Linked DNA regions of Nothobranchius furzeri. The protein of the gene in region 1 binds, or shares a complex with, the protein of each later gene. Links are inferred from orthologs where the notes say so. Each region holds a gene or a part of one and is shown on either strand. Other genes may lie near its edges.

What was found. Proteins that work in one complex are often made in the same cells at the same time.
Region 2: the proteins of orc2 (region 1) and orc5 are in contact, whole or in part, in a cryo-EM structure (PDB 7JPO), measured with the Homo sapiens proteins. The link is inferred for Nothobranchius furzeri from reciprocal best matches to the Homo sapiens genes ORC2 and ORC5. Residues at the interface, in NP_006181.1 of Homo sapiens: Val240, Glu241, Tyr243, Phe244, Glu245, Ser248, Asp396, Gln398, Arg401, Gly402, Glu403, His426, Asn428, Ala429, Pro430, Leu431, Met432, Trp433, Asp434, His435, Gln438, Trp445; in NP_002544.1 of Homo sapiens: Asp324, Lys325, Phe328, Leu329, Leu359, Asp360, Arg361, Ala364, Tyr367, Ser368, Ala378, Asn379, Phe381, Ser382, Gln383, Thr385, Ser386, Thr389, Asp400, Gln401, Leu402, Asp403, Tyr407.
Region 3: the proteins of orc2 (region 1) and lrwd1 are in contact, whole or in part, in a crystal structure (PDB 8SIU), measured with the Rattus norvegicus proteins. The link is inferred for Nothobranchius furzeri from reciprocal best matches to the Homo sapiens genes ORC2 and LRWD1. Residues at the interface, in NP_001012003.1 of Rattus norvegicus: Val11, Pro12, Ser13, Val14, Gln15, Phe16, Val17, Gly18, Asp19, Val22, Leu23, Ser24, His25, Ile26, Leu27, Asp28; in XP_038945348.1 of Rattus norvegicus: Pro262, Leu263, His264, Phe265, Leu266, Gln267, Cys268, Ser270, Asn273, Ser274, Pro275, Leu320, Val321, Leu322, His323, Lys324, Tyr325, Lys326, Leu367, Val369, Gly372, Phe373, Cys374, Pro596, Pro598, Val599, Ala600, Val605, Ile630.

The regions. Positions count from the first base shown.
Region 1 is NC_091751.1:63,947,977-63,952,067, forward strand, and holds the start of orc2 (origin recognition complex subunit 2), read left to right. Parts: upstream 1-1,261; 5' UTR 1,262-1,398; exon of another isoform or gene 1,399-1,532; 5' UTR 1,533-1,534; coding exon 1,535-1,604; intron 1,605-1,723; coding exon 1,724-1,882; intron 1,883-2,253; coding exon 2,254-2,340; intron 2,341-2,429; coding exon 2,430-2,519; intron 2,520-2,595; coding exon 2,596-2,627; intron 2,628-2,706; coding exon 2,707-2,764; intron 2,765-2,839; coding exon 2,840-3,138; intron 3,139-3,217; coding exon 3,218-3,327; intron 3,328-4,091. UniProt on the Homo sapiens protein: Component of the origin recognition complex (ORC) that binds origins of replication. DNA-binding is ATP-dependent. The specific DNA sequences that define origins of replication have not been identified yet.
Region 2 is NC_091741.1:42,936,140-42,940,208, reverse strand, and holds the start of orc5 (origin recognition complex subunit 5), read right to left. Parts: upstream 2,813-4,069; 5' UTR 2,676-2,812; coding exon 2,562-2,675; intron 1,888-2,561; coding exon 1,795-1,887; intron 595-1,794; coding exon 409-594; intron 200-408; coding exon 125-199; intron 1-124. Other genes in the region: lhfpl3 (LHFPL tetraspan subfamily member 3 protein), read left to right, coding at 3,961-4,069. UniProt on the Homo sapiens protein: Component of the origin recognition complex (ORC) that binds origins of replication. DNA-binding is ATP-dependent. The specific DNA sequences that define origins of replication have not been identified yet.
Region 3 is NC_091750.1:30,550,586-30,554,937, forward strand, and holds the start of lrwd1 (leucine-rich repeat and WD repeat-containing protein 1), read right to left. Parts: upstream 2,813-4,352; 5' UTR 2,741-2,812; intron 2,345-2,740; 5' UTR 2,333-2,344; coding exon 2,229-2,332; intron 2,070-2,228; coding exon 1,835-2,069; intron 1,362-1,834; coding exon 1,242-1,361; intron 1,056-1,241; coding exon 909-1,055; intron 816-908; coding exon 723-815; intron 582-722; coding exon 243-581; intron 89-242; coding exon 1-88. Other genes in the region: alkbh4 (alpha-ketoglutarate-dependent dioxygenase alkB homolog 4), read left to right, coding at 3,039-3,203, 3,494-3,682, 3,765-4,286. UniProt on the Homo sapiens protein: Required for G1/S transition. Recruits and stabilizes the origin recognition complex (ORC) onto chromatin during G1 to establish pre-replication complex (preRC) and to heterochromatic sites in post-replicated cells.

The sequences.
Region 1 (4,091 bases):
AGAACAAACCCAAACTTATGAGCGAGTGTATTTCCCTGCCTCGCCCCATGAGATCTCCGAGGAAGACATAAAAATGAATAACATCCAGAAGATTAAAGGAGGAATTTAGATCCACATAAAGGAGATTTTATACATGGTGGATTGTATTCATACAGAATTGAAGATGTTCTTGTCAAAAAAGTGCAGATATTGTCTTGTGTAAAACTGTATCAACTAAATTTTTGTAGTGAAAGGTGAAAAAATAAACTGTTTCAATGAGCAAAAGTGAATCCAAAGTGTTAAATAGTTTTCTAAATCTGGATTCTCACGAACAAATTTGTCAGTATAAATATAGACGCAACACTTTTGTTTTTGCTCCCATTTTTCATGAGCTGAACTGAAACCTCTGAAACTTTTTCTACATGCGGTGGGATGGATCATCTTGGTAGAGGGAAAGTGCTCACTAACACACACACACACGTAGACAGATTTCAGAATAATATTTGAGGCCGCTAGAACGAAAAGACTTAACTAATAGCAAGACATCTAAATCCCCTTTCTTTAGTGAATCTTTAACCGGATTGTGGAGTTGAATGAATACTAAATAAACAATAATCACAGCATCAAACGTGACACACACTGATTCTCAAGACTACTTGAAATTGAAACTGAATGAAAAAAATAAACATGGCAATAAAATGCCCTTTACAGATTACCAAGAAATGTGATTCTTATTGAAAATGACCACAAACTGAATGTAACTTGAAATATGGACATTAACTAATGTCAGATCAGATATCAACCTGAATCATTAAAGTATTTTAATCAGTATCCAGTCAATCCTTGTATTTAGGATTTGGTTTAATCCTAATTTATTATTTTTATAATTCATATATTATTTTTAAACATATTTGTAATCATTTTTTAAATCTTTTTATACTTGAATTTTTTGGTTTTGTGAAGCGCCTCGTGATTTTTAACTTGAGAGAAAAGATCGTTCTCTTTCTTTCTTTTCTTTACAACGTTAAACTTTATTTTCACAGTTCTATTTTCATTATTTTCACTACTTCTTCTTTTCTGTGCTTAAGCGTGTCATATTGTGTCCATTACATTTGATCTTACCTGTACAAAGTTTTTTCTACTGCTGTGAATTAGAGTAAGAATACCTGACTTGAATATTATTTGTCTGTGGACTTGTGACAGGCGGACTTGTTGAAAGGATTCTTGGGAAACGTAGTTTTACTGCTACTAGCGTTTTGATTGGCCACTTTATGACCTTTCCACTCAGTCACGTGATTTAAAATGTTCAGAATGGCGCGGAAACTTGTCACATCGCTTCTCAATTAAACTTTCCGACTTTAAAGTTTTGTTTATGTTTTAAATTTTATATTGTTTTGCGGACTTTTTCCGCCCGTTTGAGTAAGTCTCGACCTTTTGCGCTCACTTTCCTCAGCTTTAGCGCGAGAGTTCAAACCGACTCTAGTAGCAGGGCTAATTGTGTGTTTTGCTGCGTGGCTTCAGGCTTGTATCGTGTGTTTTGTGTTTATTGGTAGAAATGAGCGTGTTGGAGGTGAAGTTCGTTGGGGATGGGGATGTTTTGGAGCACATCGTGGACAAACAGGAGGGTATGAGCTGGTTTATCTCTGCTGTTTTGTTTTTTGCCCATTCGCTCTCGTTTTATGTGTGCGTGTGTGTGTGTGCGCGCGCGCGCGCGCGTGTGTGTGTGTGTGTGTGTTGTGACTAGTATTGCAGAGCAGTGCTGGCTCTGGGCTGAGGATGGTGAAGTTTAAGAGCCCGGCTGGACAGAGGGAATGCCTGGAGGAGACTCGGTGTGATGGAGATGAAAACGGAGTCCATGATGAGCTGGGTTATGTCCGAGCTTTAGGAACTGAAAACGATGAAGGTATCCCTTCCTTGGTTCTGGTTTTGTCCTGCTGCATTTTCACCCTCATCCTCCACTCTTCCATCCATAAATCTGCTCTTTGGCTTTCCTCCACGACTCCTGCCTGGCTGTTCCAGCCTGAGCATCCTTCTGCAGATTCCTCCATGTCCAAACCATCTTAGCCTGATCTTATTTCAAATCATCTAACGCAGTCCCTCTAATCCTGATCCTGTCACTCCTGAAGACAATCTCAACATTTTCACCTGCCCTGCCTCCTGTCTTCTCGGTGCCACTGTAGATCATCGAGTTTAGTATTTTGACATTACCTAATAAAGCCATAACATGAACCTAAATGTCTCTTAATGCCACTAATATGTTCTTTGGCTTCACAGAAGTAGACGATAATCCTTCTAGAGTTGCTGGTTCCTCCATCTTCACCTTCCAGAAAGTCAAACGAAGTCACAGCTTGGCCCAAACTGGTGAATCTCCGATTACCTCTCGAACGAAGGCTCAACGTTCATCTTCAGCTGCATTTATTAAACCGTTGTTTTGTTGTTTCCCTTCGTAGCGAGCGAACTGGCTCGGACCCCGGGAAAAAGCGTGAGCTTCACCAGGGACACAAACTCGGAACCCACCACTCCCTCTCGGACAGGCAGCAGTGAGTCGAGCGAACCCACTCCCCGTCCGCCTGTGCTCTCATTATGAAATGATCAGGTTTACTTTTGTCTGTCTAGGCCACGCAGGTGAAAACAGGACACCACAGAGGGTGAGAGAGCTAATACATTTCACTTTATCCAGTGAAGGATTTAGTTTGTTTTAATTTAGTTTTGTTTCTCCTGAAACAGAAAAAGAGTGTCCGGTTTGTCTCCACCACCCCTCACAGACTCAGGAAGAGACTTACAGGTACGCCTGGCCTGTTGTAGTTGTGTTCGTTTAGTAACGCTGGTGTAATCTGGGTGTGGTGGGGCTTATTTTCAGCACCAACTCTTCGGTCTGACAGCGACAGTGAACTCTCCCCCTCTGACTCTGAGGAGGACGAGCTCAAAGAAGAGCAGAGAGGGAAGCAAGAGGACAAGGAGAATGTGAAAAAGACGAGAACCCCTAGTAAAGGGCTTTCTGCAGCTCTCTACAAGACTCCTGCCAAGAGGAGCAAGAACACAGCCGAGCCTCTGAATCAGCCCACCATGACCGAGGAGTATTTTGAGGCTCATGGCAGCTCAAAGGTCCTGACGTCGGACCGGACCCTCCAGCGTTTGCACACCCCTAAGTTTGACCGGGTGTGTGAATTAAAAGTTACATGTTAGTCCATTATAATAAACCTTTGGCTAAACTCCACCTCTTTTACTTTTTGGACAGGAGACGTTGGATCGTCTTTTAGAAGATAAACCGTCTTGCTACTCAAAAGAGATCCAGCAGCTGCACGACAAACACAGGAAGCACTTTAACAAATGGATGTTACAGCTGCAGTGAGTGTGGCGGCGTGCCCTTTCCTACGGTTTGACTCTGTTCTACTAAAACGTCTCCCTAGGGGTTGTATGAACTAGTCGACTTCACGGCTCTGTAGTGACTTTTTATGCCTGTCATCGACTAGTCGCTGTCACGTGATAATGACTGACAAGATGCAGTCCTCCAGCAGGTGATGAGCCCCTGCGTCGGGAGGCGGAGGCGACGCGCTGTGCCAGAGCGTCGGTACTGACACCGGCGGTAAAACGGACATTTAACCAAACTGTGACCTTTACCCTCTTGCAATTTAACCTTCCCCTCACCCCCATCCTAATCTTAACCAGTTTGCGCATGCAAAGCTCTGATCGTTGACGCGCTCCAGACATCTGCGTCCAGAGCACCGCCAAATCAGGTGTCACCACCTCAAAAACTAACTAAACACGCGATCGTTCATGTCGGCTCATTTCCTTTCATGTTTTCTGTCTGTTATTTGTGCCTGATGCGTTTCGCTGCTGCGGAGCGAGGCTCTTCACCTGTTTTGTCCTCCGGTGACGCACCCCCAAGATTCCACTATCTCCGCTCCGGCACGAACTCCGCAGCAAAAACGGTCCCGTTGTAGTCGGCCGGCGAGCAGCGGCACTCCGCTGTTTTTGCGGTCGGTAGATCTTTTAGAACTGCAGTTCAAAGGTAACTCATAAGGTGAATATATATGAACCCAGGTAGCAGTTTTTCTTTAGGACTGAGAGGAGATGCAGGAAGATAATAAACAGGCAGGACAGAAAAATAG
Region 2 (4,069 bases), on another chromosome or scaffold:
TCTCTACAAACAGCAGCTCAAGGACATTTCCTCACTAATAAAACTCTTCATCATCGGCGCAGTTTATCAACAACAAAGCGTTTTGGGTGATAAACACCACAAAGAGCGAGCTGTGTTTTCTCACCAGTTCCTGAAGACGAAGGAGGGCAGGAAGAAGATTGGCATCGGCGTCTCTTAGAAGTTCAGGCTTCTCCATAATCTGAAACATATCCACGTGTTTACTTTCGGTTTACAACATTTACACTCACTAAATAAAAGGTGTTTAAATGAAAAACACTTTCAGTCCAAATTCTACATCAAATTAACACTGTTTCTGGCACAGAAACGTCAGGTCAATACATCTGGAGCTTTGTTTACCACTTGCATTACAACAGATGGCATCATAAATAACACAGATGTGTCACTCACGATGTATCGCGTCTGCTCAGCAGGAAACTGGGAGGATTGTTGCCTGTAGATCCGCACAAAGTCAGACAAGGAGGGACTACGAGGGAGCAGCGAGGCAGCATCGCAGCCAAAGAAGGACAGTAGCACTTGTTCAAACAGCAACGCAACAGACACACATTCGACGCAGCTGACCGTGGCGTGAGGAAGCTGAGGAGGAGAAGGAGCAATGGTGAAGGTCAAAAAGTCATAAGATGGGTGAACATAAAAACTCCACTCTGTGTTAATTTTTAATCCGATTTAAAAAGTAATAAATTTCCCCACTGTGTGATTAATAAAGTCTATTTTATTCTAACATTTGATGAAAGAAATACAAATTAAATAAATAAAAAGTATGCTGGGGCCTTTATATAAAAACCTTGAATGAATGTATTTGTGATTCGGGTCTTTTCTGGACAAAAGAAGGCCCTGATGTACACTTTTTGTAGCCACCACTTTTATGTGAACGTTTGTAGAAGAAACACAAACTACTTTGAGTTCTTTATAATAAAACCCATATAAAAACCACTGGCAAGAAAGTAGCCATCCATAAACTACAAATTTTAATATTCTACACGATTTAAAAGGCTTTGTTTGCTTCTAGATATTTTGTTATTGTAATAGTACTCTGCAGTGGTCTGTTTAAAGGTTTACACAAGCTGAAAGAGTAAGGATCCAACTCTGAAATAAAACAAGCCCACATGTTCATCACTTGTCCTTCAACCATCTTTTTTTTCCAGAAAGGCGACTTATTGTGCTCAAACTCTGGATTTTATAATCAGCCCACATTTCATGAAGTAAAGCTAATAGACTTGTTAAATGTAAAATAAACTATTTCAAGCGGTTATTTCTTGTCATTCTCATGATGATGTAATACAGATCATGTCAAAGTGATGAATGGCCTGCATTTGTTTATTAGCGCCTTTCTGAGTTAGAGGACTCCAAAGTGCTTCAACCTACAGTCATTCACACACTGATGAGCTACACTGTAACCACAGCTAAACTGGGGCATTTTGACGGAGGCGAGGCTCCCTTACACAGGTGCCACAGGTCCCTCCAACCACTGACAGTCTGACACAATGGCCAACTCAACACAGCCTGGGATTGAACCAGTAAACCACCAGTTACAGAGTGAACTCCTAACCCCTAAGCCACCTTCACCCCTTCATAATGTTCTTATTTTATGGAGCATGAATTTGGGGTTTTTCTTATCTGTAACCTTTAATATTCCTAATTACAAGGAATAAACTATTTTAGTCTGTGTAATAAATAAATGGGTATCAATTTCTGAAATGAGGGACAAGCATAGAAATTTGCCATTTAATGAATTTTTTTTTGGAAAGGCACCCATAGACAATAAGTATCTCTCACCTCCAACTCTTCCATCAAAATATTTGTCACGTGACTTTTTCCTGAGGACCGATGGCCATAGATGAAGACTGAAGGGTAGCAGTACTGCTGTGGCTGGAAGAGCATAAAAATAGCATTTTTGTATCAATATTTTTTTGCATTTTAATGTATAAATTTCCCAAGGATTAAAATGTCATCATCTACTCACAACATTAGAAGCTTGTAACAATAGCTTTGTCACAAAAAAAAAAAAAAAAAAATAAGCTACTGCTGGCTCTTGATTATCCCACAGCTTCATATTTTTTAGATATTTTTTTAGATTCTCGTATAACTTTAGAATTACACCAAAATATATTTTGCTGCAGTTGCCCAAACATAATTTACATTAGGGAATTATGTCATCTTGATGCAGCTTTTATTTAGGTTTAGATGTCTGTAAACATATGAAGGTTTCTGGGTACCATTGTATTTTCTCAAGCAAACTTATATTATAAAAATGTGTAAATATGTACTGCAAAGAAAAATCATGCAATAAATTGAAAAAGCTCTACTGAGGACAGCCCGTTGTGCTCAAACAGCCAAATGACACCATCAAGATTATACAACTTGCATTGCACTAACACAAAAAGATTTGATGAGCATCTTCGGCAAGCTGTAATGTGCCTGCGAAACAAAGGTTTACAGACGTGAAACTCCAGTTTACCTGACAGAGAAAACACAATCAAACGCTGACAGTGAGAATGGAGACCAAGCCAACGATTCTTTTAAACCACCATTATAGTTCCTACCTGTCCCATGAGAGACAGCAGCATCCCAGCCTGGACTTCTCTACAAGGCAGCAGCTCTGAGACTCTTTTTAGCCTTTCTTCGTCGTATCCTGGTTGCTGTAACAGCCCCGTCATCCTTACCGTCCAACTCCCAAATATGCCCGCACGGTTTAATCGTCACGAGGCTTAGAATAATCTGTCTAAAACCGTGACAGTTAGCATAAAACTCGGCTTTTTGTAACTGAAAGTCCACCGACACGAGGCGGAAAAGACGAACACAGGCGGTAATTTGGGAGGAAAAAGTGCCAAAAAGAGAATTAACGTCGGGAAAGTACCGATAGAACAAGTTGGGGGTAAACTAACACCCTGAAAGAAACCAAGTAAGCAACTTTAAATGATGAGAAAATGCATTTTCTCTTAAGAGAACTGGATAAAACGTTAGCTGCATTTTCTCGCGCGCCTTCGAATTGCGTAGAAACGTGATCCTCTGTTACCCAATGAAAATAGAGCTCAGAACTCTGGGAAATGTAGTTTAAAGGTTAAACACAATTTAAATAGCATATTTTGGATTTGATGTGGTGATTTTAGGTTAGTATTTTAGTAATATAGGGATTTATCTACAATATGATCCAGAAATAATAGCATTGACTTAATCTACTACTTTTGTAACGAACATTTTAATACGTCACTGTTTTATATTGGTTGAAATAACAAACTCTGTCTAGTTCTTAAATTTAAATATTTGATTGTTTGTCAGTCTAGATAGCAAAAAAATCAGTTCATTTGGTAAAATTACTAATTTGCATGAATTAAGATTTGATGATTAAAAATGAAAACATTCCGAAAAATCATAATGATCACTGATCGCTTTGTGTTTTTATCTTTGTTCGTTTTAGTAGTAAAAATAAGTAATTTTTAGTCATGCAAAATCTCTAATTCATTGCCACTGAAGTCATGTTACCATATTTTCTGTACATTTTTCATTTTAAATCTTTGTGTTTGAAATTTCGCGCGAGCAACGTCAGAATGGGATTAAGGGATGTGGGTTGGCCCTGTACTATACACGGACATCTGCGGTTGTGCTCCTCAGACGGATCCGTGCAGGGAGATCTCACACATCCCCTGATAAGAAGCGGACTGCATTCCACTACATATGCGCGCAAATGGAGAATGAATCTGCAAATGGATTACCGGCGCTCGTATTTTCCCAGAGCCACGTTTCGATTCTGCAGGCTGATGAATGAAAATCGGAGCTCCAGAACAGAAATCAGGACCCGGCCTTGCCTCTATACAGTGCAGCTGATGCTGTGGACACGAGTGTAAGGAAAGAAAACACAACCGAACCAGAGGAAGTTCTGCTGATTACCAGATGAGGCAGGTGCCACTTTGATCCGCATCCTCCCCACACAGACCAGAGGAAATGGTCCCCGGGGCTCCCAGCGCGACCACCACCATGCTCCCTGCCTCCGAGGCTGCCAAAATCTACCAAACCAACTACGTCCGGAACTCCAGGGCCATCGGCGTCCTGT
Region 3 (4,352 bases), on another chromosome or scaffold:
AGGCCCACAGCTGCGTGGAGAAGTCCCCGGAGCTGTCCTGTTTACTGTGACACTGGAGCACGTGGAGAGGCTTCAGATGCACCGGCTGCTGGAGGATCACACACAAGAGACGGATGAGAACGAACACAAACCCCTGTGGGTTGTTGTCTGACAAGATTGTGTCTTGTACGGAATAAACGACGACACTGGAATGTTTTTGTGGTTCTACAGCATCTAAAGGAGTCATCTGTGTGTTTCTTTACCTGACTCTTAGTACAAATCTTTATTATAGGCAGAGTGTACTGACTCCTGTGCAGCTGTTTGGTTTTGCTGACTTCTTTTTTCTGTTCAACCCGAACTTCTTCCTCTTCGAGTTGCTGTGATTTAGACCTCTTCCTGGGCGTCTCTGTCCTCGCCTGTCCTCTGGTGGGAGTGGAGACAGCCCCGTCTGTCCGGAGAGAGACCCTGCGGGACTTGCGAGGGCTGTCTTCAGCAGCTGAAGATTCTAGAGCGTTGACTCTCAACTTCTTGTGAGGCGTCAAAATTACTTTATCATCTGTCACCAGTTTGGTTCGTTTCCTCTTGGAAGGCGAGGAAATTATCTGAGAAAAGGAAGATAGAGTAAAATGTTTGACCCAGTTTGAACAGAAACAGCAAGAAGTTTTATTTAGAGACGCCATTTGTGCCAATGACAGTATTGTAACAGTGAAGTTTAAATAAAAGGTGCTGATTAGCAATCTTACACAGTTCTTTGTGGCCTCAGCAGACTCCTTGGGGATGAAGTCTTCTTTTGGTTGTGTCAGTGAGCGCAGATGCTCTTTAGCAAGAATCTCCACCTGAAAAATCAAAAGGAAGTAAAAACAAAACTGTTAAAAAGGGATGAAAATTAGCAAAAAAGTCCCAGAGATCCTTGTAAATTCAGGACTTGCCCTCCATTTGGTGAAATCGCTGACTGAACTGGGACCAAATTTGACTTGATGACGAGCAGCGTTCACAAAGTTCTTCTCCAGATCGGACATTTTGCCGGCCGTGATGGGATCTGGGAGACTGAAGCTCCGCTCCCAAACTGTGACTATCTGAAATCAAGCAGCAGCTGAGTGACCCAAGTGTGGGATATGATGAGAAAGTGCAGCAGCTGGGTCGTTTCCTTTTAAAATGCAACATTAGAGGTGTGATGCAATCGAGAGCCACAGCTTAACTCAAAGTCTAATGAATAATCATCATGAATGTTTTCAAACGAAAGTATTAAACGGTTTTCATACCCTGGTCCTCAGGTTGTCACTGAACACGTATCGTAAGTGGCTGGCAGTGGTGCTGACATCTTTGTTGTTGTAAATCCTCAGTTTGGGCAGCAACACCATCAGCTTGTAACTATCACTTATCTAAAAATAACAGAGTCAGGACTTGATCTCAGTTGTAAAAGAGAATTTTAAAGTTTGAGACAAAAATAAAGGAATATCTAACAAAAAGGAAAAGCTGCAGCGCTGCAGAGAACAAAAAGACGTGCTAATAAAACATCTAGACTTGTTGAAGTAGTTATCTGATGACAGCGTTAGAGGAAAACTTCCTTTTGGTTTGTTTTTTTCACCTCATGTGGATATTGTCGCGGTAAAATAGTCATGGGTGGAAAAACTGCATCACATGTAACAACCAGACTCCAAAAGATGCCACGGTAACGTTTTACGATTCTGTAAAGTTCTGAGATGAATTCAAAGACAGAAATTATACTTAAACCACTCATTTAAATAAGACCAATCGAATAGTTTGAATTTTAAAAAGGCAGCTCCGTCCTTTATGTTATAACAGAGACGGAACGGTACTGGATTACATGCGACAAAAACAGCCAAGTCCTCACTGTGATGTAAAAGTTGTCATCCATTTTTAGTTCCTCCAAGCTGCTCAGAGACTCTAAGGTGGTGACATCCTCCATCTGGTTGTTGGTGAGGTCCAGGTACCGAAGTGCAGGTAGCTTCAGGTTCTTTGGAAGCTCCTGCAGCCTGTTCCCGGATAGATCCCACCGCTCCAGGGACTGCAGGCGGGATAGCAGCTTCACAGGAAGATCCCCGTGCTTCAGCGCCATCTTAGACAGACTAAATAGAAGAAACCCGTCAAGTCAACATGGGGATTTTAGATCAAGCTTCATATCTGCAAGTAAAACTAATTTTACTATTAAATGCGATTAGTCATCAACTGATAAAAGAGTGACTTCACCAGAACACACAAATAGTTAATCAAGGGGGAAGACTTACTTCAGAGTTTTGATTTGCTCCAGTTTGTTGGTTTTTGGAGAACCTTTCTCCAGTAAAAGCTTCTCTGTTACATTCTCCATAGCTGATCTGCTGGAAAAGGACATCTAATGTGGAATCTATCAGCAAAATAACATGTTAAACTTTTATTCGCACTCACTGATTAAGTTGTATGGCCTGATAAGTTTAAATAATGTCTGTACTTAAAACGAGCTAAATATTTAGCATTTTTTCATTTAGTAAAGAGACGATGCCATTGCCAAGTGACATCTTTACTGAGAAAAATTTAATATAACCAAATCAACTTCATGCTTCAGCAAGGTAAAACTGAATCTGTTAGTTTGATTTCGATTGGTTTTACTTTAGCAGTAGCTAGCATAACCACGTTGACACGATCGATTAATCAACTCTTTGCTAGGTTAGTAGTTAGTAATATAACTGACTCTTTTTCTAGCCATAACAAATGAGCAAACACCTTTAATAATGTTTAATAAAGTATTTTTTATGTTACTTACCAACTCCTCTCTGCAACTTTTGTGTCTGCAACACAACTGACCTTTCCCGGGGAAACTCCGTCTACATCCGGTGGGCGTGGTTTACCTAAAACTTTGGCCACAGTTTACCCTGAACATTGGCTGTAAGACAAGTCAAACAAATACGACTTTCGATTATTATATTTCTTGTTTATCACATATATTACTAAGTATTGTCATATTTTGTTTTATTTGAAATTTTAATGCGCCAATAACAGTGCGGCAGAACGAAAATAGGGGTTAAAAGAAGTAATTTTACGCCTGCGGCTCCGTCCGCTAGATGGCAGTGGAGCTACGATTTCCAAGTAGAAGAAGATGCAACATGATGATGATGGTCTCTGACGACGGCGACGGGGTTATTCCATGCGCTTGTAAAGGCATCCGACGCTGTCTTGTCTGTGAAACGTTTAAGGCGAGTGTACTGCTTGAAACAAGAGAGTCAAAGGTACGTGTGTCGAACAAAAATCTCAGTTTTAATGTGCGATGTAACGTCTGTAAACCTTGGTACGGAAGCCCTCACTGGACAAATTGTGTTGTTTATCAAAAATCACTCTTGTTTGTTCTGACAATATTCTGGTACAATGTTGTAAATTTGATTTAAATAATGAGATACAACCCTGGTTTATTTAAATGTTGACGGCATGTATCTTTACTTATTGTGAAATGAAATTTTATAATTAAAACATGTCATCACAGCTTTTGTTTATTAATGTTATCTCTGTTTTTGGTATGAAGATTGTGCATCATTTCCTCTATAATGCCAAGACGGGGCTCGCTGTCAGCGAAGATGAAGAGGGCTCTTCCTTCCCTTTTTCTGGAGTCTTCCTGTGGGAGAACTTTATATCAGAGGAGGAGGAGAGGGAGCTGATTAGCGTAATGGACCAGGATGTGTGGCATCCCTCACAGTCTGGCCGAAGGAAACAGGTGGAAAACATTTAATGAAAATGTACTTTTTTGTGGGTTACATATTTTTAACATTCAAATTTTTCATTTTACACGGTTGCAGGACTTTGGCCCTAAAGTAAACTTCAAGAAGAGAAAAGTGCGCATCGCAGACTTTACTGGACTTCCTGCTTTAAGCCAAAAACTGGTGCTGCGGATGCAGCAAGATGCAAATCTTGCGGGCTTTCAACCAGTGGAGCAGTGCAATCTGGATTACGCTCCGGAGAGAGGCTCAGCCATTGATCCGCACCTGGATGACTCCTGGTTGTGGGGGGAGCGGCTGGTCACCATCAACATGTTATCAGAAACTGTGCTCACCATGTCTCTTGAGCAGGGTCTGCCAGAGTTGGGACTTTCAGAGGAAGTCCAGGTTGCTGTACGACTTCCTCGCAGGTGTTTAGTTGTGTTATACGGCGAGGCGAGGCATAGGTGGAAACATGCAATTCATAGGAAGGATATTCATGAACGCAGGGTCTGCAGCACATACAGAGAGCTGTCTGCAGAGTTCCTCCTTGGAGGGAAGCAGGCGAAGCTGGGAGCTGAACTGTTGACTACTGCTTTAAGCTTCGGAGGAACTCCAATATAAACAGAGGCAGAAAAAGCTGGACAAAGTAGACGTGAAGTGTCTCAGTCTGAAACTGTGCCACATCAA